2 linked regions of the Ovis aries genome follow. The protein of the gene in region 1 interacts with the protein of each later gene in a pairwise test. Links are inferred from orthologs where the notes say so. Each region holds a gene or a part of one and is shown on either strand. Other genes may lie near its edges. The genes, in order: GFAP and KIAA0408.

Region 1 (3,755 bases):
GAGGAAGCTGAGAGAGGATCCTCTCTGAGTGACTGACCTTCACCAAAGAAGTGAGGTGACTTGCCCAGGGTCATACAGGCACTATTACTTCCAATAAGTACTTATTAGTATCTGTTGCGATTGACTACTAGCCAACACTCTTGTGTTTTAGGCCCTGGGCTTTGCAAGGATTATCTTACCATGAAGTAGGTACTGTCCTTTGATAGATGACAGAACTGAAGTCCAGAGAGGTTAACCAATTTGGCCAAATTCACACAGCTCCTAAGCAATAGAGCTGGATTTCTAACCCTAGCTGTCTCACTTAAGAGCCTGTATTCTTATCTTTTTTTTTAACTGTTTATCTGGGGGGCTTTCTTGGTCATGCCTCTAAGCATGTGGGATGTTAGTTCCTTGACCAGGGATCAAACCCACGCCTCGCCCATTGGAAGGGTGGAGCCTTCACCACTGGACTGCCAGGGAAGTCCCAAGCCCACATTCTTGATGCTTCTGCCATCTGCATCCTGGGTTACTGAGTATCTGCTGCATGCCAGGCTCTGCCCTGCATACAGAGACACGTCTGACCAGGGGGATGTGATGTCACTCAGCTTGATGTCTGTGAAGAACGCAGCAGGGCAGGGTTTACACGCAACGCGGAAGCAGGACAGATTTCATGGGAGGGCAGTGGGGCCAGGCGGGACTGGCAGCCTACGAACATACAGAGAAGAGAGAAAGGGCATTCAGGAAGGGCATGCAGGACACAGCCTGAGTAGAGGCCATAAAGCACAGAAAAGTGGGGGCCCGGAGATCCTGGCCCAGGGCATGGAGCTGAGGAGTGTAAGTGGCAGAAGTCAGGGATGGTTCTGAGCAGGTTAAGGCGTGATGGAACCATGAGGGATTCAGAGCAGGCTGAAGGAGAGAGGGTTATTAGAACCTGGTCTCTGCTCACCAGAGCTCCCTGTGTGTGACCTAGGAGGACAGGATTCAGTCCCGAGGATGGAGCTACTGGAGAGTCTGGGCTCTGTGACACCCTCTGCTCATTCACGCGTTCCCTCATCAGGCACTGAGCTAGATGCTAGAGAAGTAGCAATGTCGTCTGTGTCTGTGTCCATGGGCCACGGGTGACTGTGAATAATCCCACCCAGTGCCAGTGGCGTGGGGTGGGCTGGAAAACAGCCGTACCGTCCGGCCCATCTCCCTGATCCTCCAGACCGCGTACCAACCCCCCGAGCCCACTAAGCTCCCGCGATATGCGGCCCCAGACCGCCTTCCAGCATAAAGCCCTCTCCTCATCTAGTTCGCGGACCTGAACGACGCCGCCGCCCGCAACGCGGAGCTGCTCCGCCAGGCCAAGCATGAGGCCAACGACTACCGACGGCAGCTGCAGGCCTTGACCTGCGACCTGGAGTCCTTGCGCGGCACGGTGAGCAGGGGCGGGGCCGCAGGCGGAGGAGGGGTACGGGTGAGCGAGCCGGGAACCTGGGACCTACAGCCCTAGCAGACGCTGAAGGACTGGCTCGGGGCGGAGCTCTGAAAAGTTTCTTGGGGCGGGGCCTCGGGGAACGGTCCGGCTCCACCCACAGAACGAGTCCCTGGAGCGGCAGATGCGCGAGCAAGAGGAGCGCCACGCGCGGGAGGCGGCGAGTTACCAGGAGGCGCTGGCCCGGCTGGAGGAAGAGGGGCAGAGCCTCAAGGACGAGATGGCGCGCCACCTGCAGGAATACCAGGATCTGCTCAACGTCAAACTGGCCCTGGACATCGAGATCGCCACCTACAGGAAGCTGCTGGAGGGCGAGGAGAACCGGTGAGCCCAGACCGGCCGCCTGCCCTACTGCCCCGCCCCAGAGTCGCCTTGCTCCCTTCACGAATACATGTGTGCTCGGACATGTCCAACTCTTTGCGACTCCCATAGATGGTAGCCCGTCAGGCTCCTATATCCATGGGATTTCCCAGGCAAGAATACTGGAGTGAGTTGCCATTTCCTTCTCCAGCGGGTCTTCCCGACCCAGGGATAGAACCCACGTCTCTTTGTGTCTCCTGCTTTGGCAGGTGTGTTCTTTACCACTGCGCCATCTGGGAAGCCCCATCAGGGACTGTCTTATTCAGCCTCGTGACCAGCCCCCTCCTATCCCAGCGCCCAGCACAGTGCTCACCTAACACACAGTTGGTATTCATAAATGCCTGATGAATGAATGGATGGATTCAATTCAGCCCATGTTGATCAGATCCTAGGGTAAGGACTTGGGTTATCTTCCAAACTAAAAGGCTCACTCCCCACCCTCCCAACAAAGACTGGACTTCTTTTCTGCTGACCAATCTCCTCTGCCTCCTGGGAACTCTCTTCACTGCTCTCCCCTCCCCTCTGTCATCCTCAGAGCACTCACTCTCTTTTGAGTGGAGGTGTTCCCCCAGAGCTCTTACAGCGCGGGGAGTGTGTTGGCTGCTGGAGAAGCTAAGAGATGGAGGTCCGCCTTTCCTGGCAAGGAAGAGGGCCTCGAAGCTATTATGGTGACCTTGGACCAGGATCTGGCCTGGGAGTGTCCTCTGGCAGGCTGGTCACCCCTCTCCTTCTGCTGTCTTTCAGCATCACCATTCCTGTTCAGACCTTCTCCAACCTGCAGATCCGAGGTCAGTAGAACAGGGTTTTGTGGGCAGAGTGTTGGATTCCCGCCCCCTTCCCCAGGCCTGTGGGTTGCTCTTCTGGTCTGAGCCCGAGGACCAGGGCAGAGGGGCCCAGTGCTCTCTGTGGGGACCTTCAATATTCATGGCAGAACTTCCAGCCAGAACACACCATTCCAGAGCATTCCAGGTGGGGCTTGCAGCCACTCCTGTCCTGCTCTGCCCTTTGTCCCTCCTCCCATGCCTACTCCCCATTCCACTGCAGAACTGAGTGAGGGTCTTAACCTCTCACCTGTCTGCAGATCCCTGTCCAGCTGAGTGTTTGATGTTTGTGTGTTTTTTTTTAACTGCTTGTCACTACAGGGGGCAAAAGCACCAAAGAAGGGGAAAGTCACAAGGTCACAAGACATCTCAAAAGCCTCACAATACAAGTTATACCAATTCAGGCTCACCAGGTTGTAGATGGAGCCCCGCCGGCTCTCGGTTAGCTGCCTGCCTTTTAGACATGGTGCTTTTTTCACCTTAATAGGGAGCAAGCTCACCAAGCCCACTTTCCCCATCTTCTTGAGCTCCCTCCTCCCAGGTTTCCCTAAAGGGCCAACCCTGTGTCATTTCCCCAGCAATCTCAGCGCCCAGTCCAGGACCTGGCACAGGGTAAATGTACATTAAAGTAGTAGAGTTGGCCAGTGTTCAAGGTGCTAAGTCCTCGGGTACTCAGCTCAGATGCTCTGGGCCTCTGAGCAAACACCAGCTTCTGCCTCACCTCTTCCCCATCACCAGGAGGGCCCCTAGAGTCTCACGGTGCCTGGCAGCCAGGCTCTTGGCCTGATTCCTCTGTCCCCGAGGCTCGGTTGTTCAGCTCAGGGCTGATTCAGCCCAGAGGATTATTTCCCTCTAGACTGCTGCTCTTGGAGTGAATAAAGTTTTATGTCCCCTGCTCTTAATATTAAACATTAGTGAGTGTGACATGTTACATTTTTCTCTCTGCAGGGGGGAATAAATTGCTTCTTACTTGTATGTGGCCCTCAAATAATTCTCAGCTGAGGGAAAAAATAATTCTTCTGGACTAGAAATTTAGGAACACTAGCTATGCATGTCCGAGGGCTTAGTTCAGTATCAGAAGAGTTAACCAGCAGACCAGGTAGAGGCAATACTGCCAC
Region 2 (3,817 bases), on another chromosome or scaffold:
AATCAAGATTGCTGGGAGAAATATCAATAACCTCAGATATGCAGATGACACCACCCTTATGGCAGAAAGTGAAGAGGAGCTAATAAGCCTCTTGATGAAAGTGAAAGAGGAGAGTGAAAAAGTTGGCTTAAAGCTCAACATTCAGAAAAGTAAGATCATGGCATCCGGTCCCATAACCTCATGGGAAATAGATGGGGAAACAGTGGAAACAGTGTCAGACTTTATTTTGGGGGGCTCCAAAATCACTGCAGATGGTGACTGCAGCCATGAAATTAAAAGACGCTTACTCCTTGGAAGGAAAGTTATGACCAACTTAGATAGCATATTGATAAGTAGAGACATTATTTTGCCAACAAAGGTCAGTCTAGTCAAGGCTATGGTTTTTCCAGTAGCCATGTATGGATATGAGAGTTGGACTGTGAAGAAAGCTGAGCGACCAAGAATTGATGTTTTTGAACTGTGGTGTTGGAGAAGACTCTTGAGAGTCCCTTGGACTACAAGGAGATCCAACCAGTCCATTCTAAAGGAGATCAGCCCTGGGTGTTCTTTGGAAGGAATGACGCTAAAGCTGAAACTCCAGTACTTTGGCCATCTCATGCAAAGAGTTGACTCATTGGAAAAGACCCTGATGCTGGGAGAGATTGGGGGCAGGAGGAAAAGGGGACGACAGAGGATGAGATGGCTGGATGGCATCACGGACTCGATGAACATGAGTTTGAGTGAACTCCAGGAGCTGGTGATGGACAGGGAGGCCTGGCGTGCTGCAATTCATGGGGTCACAAAGAGTCAGAGATGACTGAGCGACTGAACTGAACTGAACTGAAAGATGTATTCAACTAGGTTAACCCAGCATACTGTTCCACTGGCCAAATACTCAAAACAAAAAGAATGCCATTGTATACACTTGTTAATTTACTGTTTATTATGGTGAGTGTTGGGGTTTTCCAGGTGGCTCAGTGGGAAGGAATCCACCTGCCAATGCAGAAGGCACAGGAGACACGGGTTTGATCCCTGGGTCGGGAAGATCCCCTGGAGGAGGGTGTGGGAACCCACTCCAGTATTCTTGCCTGGAGAATCCCATGGACAGAGGAGCCTGGTGGGCTATACAGTTCCTAGGGCCGCAAAGAATCAGACACGACTGAGTGACTGAGCACAATGGCAAGCATAACTAAGCTAAACATCAATAAAAAGTGAAGTACACCTAACAGTCAAATTATACAGAAAACCAGGAGATTTACTTTAAGAATTAATGATCAAAGAAATGTACAATTTAAACTTTTATCTCCTAAAATAGCAGATTTTAGTAACATTACTAATTTTTGCTAACAAAGTGTTAAATGTGAAAGGTAATTTGGACTCATTAACTTAAAACAATATCCGTCTTGATTTTTCAACATAAAAATCATCATAGATGTACCAGCCTACCTTCTGTGGTTAGACCGCTTTCGAATTTCCTCTTGAAAGTTGCATAACTCTTCACTAACTTTGGCAAGTTCTTCAAGAGCCTTTATACATATAAGCAATAGCATGTTAGCCCTTTGAAATGTAAATATTTCTTTAGAAACAGTCCAAGGCAAATCCCGTCTTACTTACTGTGTTGAGGGCTCCAGAGCAGCTCTTGTTCTCTGCCTCAGAAGTCCTCCAGTCAGGCCGGGCCCCAGGTTCTTTATGGTTGTCTCTGGCTTCAGAATCCATATACCCTACTTTTGATTTTTTGATTGTTTTTTGTTCCTTGCACACTTGATTTCTTTCCCTGAGTAAACTCTGCTCTGTTTTATCTTTTTTCCCCAGAATGTCCCTGGGATGTATCCCTGTAATTTTACATTGTCCTGAATTGGGGTAATCTGCAGAAGATTCCATTTTATCTCCAACGGCCTTCTCACAATCAAAATCAATGACCTTAGCACGTTCACTCATGTTGATTTTCCTCCGACGCTTTACTTCATGGCAGAGCTATAAGGAAAACAAAGATAAAAATTTCCCCCTAACCTACTTTCTCAATAGTTTTGATCCTAAACACAGTGTTCTGAGTTTTCTTGGCCATATTACTATATAGTGGGTCTTCCCAGGTGGCACTCATGGTAAAGAACCCACTTGCCATTGCAGAAATATAAGAGACTTGGGTTTGATCCCTAAGTCAGGAAGATTCCTTGGAGAAGGAAATGGCAACCCACTCCAGTATTCTTGCCTAAAGAATCCCATGGATGGGGAGCCTGGAGAACTATAGTCCCTAGGGTCAGACATGACTTAAGCTACTTAGCACGCATGCATACATAGACTGCTCCAGGGCACTAATGCTAATGCTTCCAAATCATGCTTCTAAAATCTGGATTAGCTGGAGCAAACTTTTGATGAACCATAAAGACTACATGTAGTAGGGCAAAGAAGGTAATTTCTATTTTTCTGAGTACAAATCAATTCATTCAAAAATGACAGAAACCTGCGTTTATATATAGATGTCATAATGATACAGAAGCACTGTTAACAAAATTGGAAGGACCTCGATCAATTACTGGCTGCTGCTGCTGCTGCTAAGTTGCTTCAGTTGTGTCCGACTCTGTGCGACCCCATAGACGGCAGCCCGCCAGGCTCCCCCGATCCTGGGATTCTCCAGGCAAGAATACTGGAGTGGGTTGCCATTTCCTTCTCCAGTGCATGAAAGTGAAAAGTGAAAGTGAAGTCGTTCAGTCATGTCCAACTCCTGGCGACCCCATGGACTGATGCCTACCAGGCTCCTCCATCCATGGGATCTTCCAGGCAAGAGTACTGGAATGGGTTGCCATTGCCTCCTCCCAATTACTGGCAAGGTGCTCTAATTTAACCAACATTAAGGCCATATTTAAAAAATACATGATCCTACTTGTAAGTCAACATTGAACTGTCTAAATGACTGACAATCTCACATAGTAACTCAGCTCATTCTGTCCCTTAAGTAGTTATTTCATCATCAAAAGATGTTTCCTTAGGAGGTTACGTGGGTGAGGGGTAGGTAATTATCAGACTTGTTTTTTTTTTTTTTTTAACTTCGAAGGCTATATACATTCAAAAAAAGTTTCTTCCTTTGTCCTAATTAAAACAAGTGTGAGCCTGTCCTATGTAATACAATTGAACTCTAAGGCTTTGATCATCTATTAGTTTATTAATTGCCCCAAATTAGTTCTTGAGGATTTAGTTTAACCTGCAGGCAATTAGTGACTTTCTCTTCAGGCTTGAGTTCTGGGAAAGCTTGTCAAATTCCAAAGACTTAAAACAAATGACTCTACATTTTACAGTCACATCCTATATCTGCATGAGATCTATTAATCAAAGAATATAATAACAGATTAATTTCTGCTCAGTGTTTACGCAAATCTCAGAGAGAAGCACTAGAATATCGTTAATGCCTGAAGGATATGCAGTGCATTTATTGCCCTAGTCATAAATTTGTCATTGGATGAAGTCAGGATAGCATCAAATTGCCATCATGAATCAACCATTTTGGCTCCTGTAAAATTATCTGTACTGAACTGCTGTGGGCATTATAATTTTGGCCGACCTTGAGGGGCATAATAAGAAGCAACCCTCAAAAGCACCAGGCTAAATCTAAGGATGTTCTTGGTGGCACTGTCCTCTTTTAGAGGAGTCATGGGTGAAAACAAATTTGCTTCAATGTAAAATTAGGGACCAAAGTACTATTTCTGGAAAATTAGTCTGCTTTTGTTTCCTGAATATTGAGAAATATGCATCTGATAATTTTTTGTTACTTGCTAGAAAGACGGACCTGCTGCATGCATTTTGCAAGGGATCCTTCCTCTTGTCTTCATTTCACCTTGCTCTT

The links.
Region 2: the proteins of GFAP (region 1) and KIAA0408 interact in binary tests that used the Homo sapiens proteins (3 or more experiments, as listed by UniProt). The link is inferred for Ovis aries from reciprocal best matches to the Homo sapiens genes GFAP and KIAA0408.

The regions. Positions count from the first base shown.
Region 1 is NC_056064.1:44,354,715-44,358,469, reverse strand, and holds part of GFAP (glial fibrillary acidic protein), read left to right. Parts: intron 1-1,273; coding exon 1,274-1,399; intron 1,400-1,559; coding exon 1,560-1,780; intron 1,781-2,560; coding exon 2,561-2,604; intron 2,605-2,958; coding exon 2,959-3,078; intron 3,079-3,755.
Region 2 is NC_056061.1:11,123,704-11,127,520, reverse strand, and holds part of KIAA0408 (uncharacterized protein KIAA0408 homolog), read right to left. Parts: intron 1,954-3,817; coding exon 1,594-1,953; intron 1,506-1,593; coding exon 1,426-1,505; intron 1-1,425.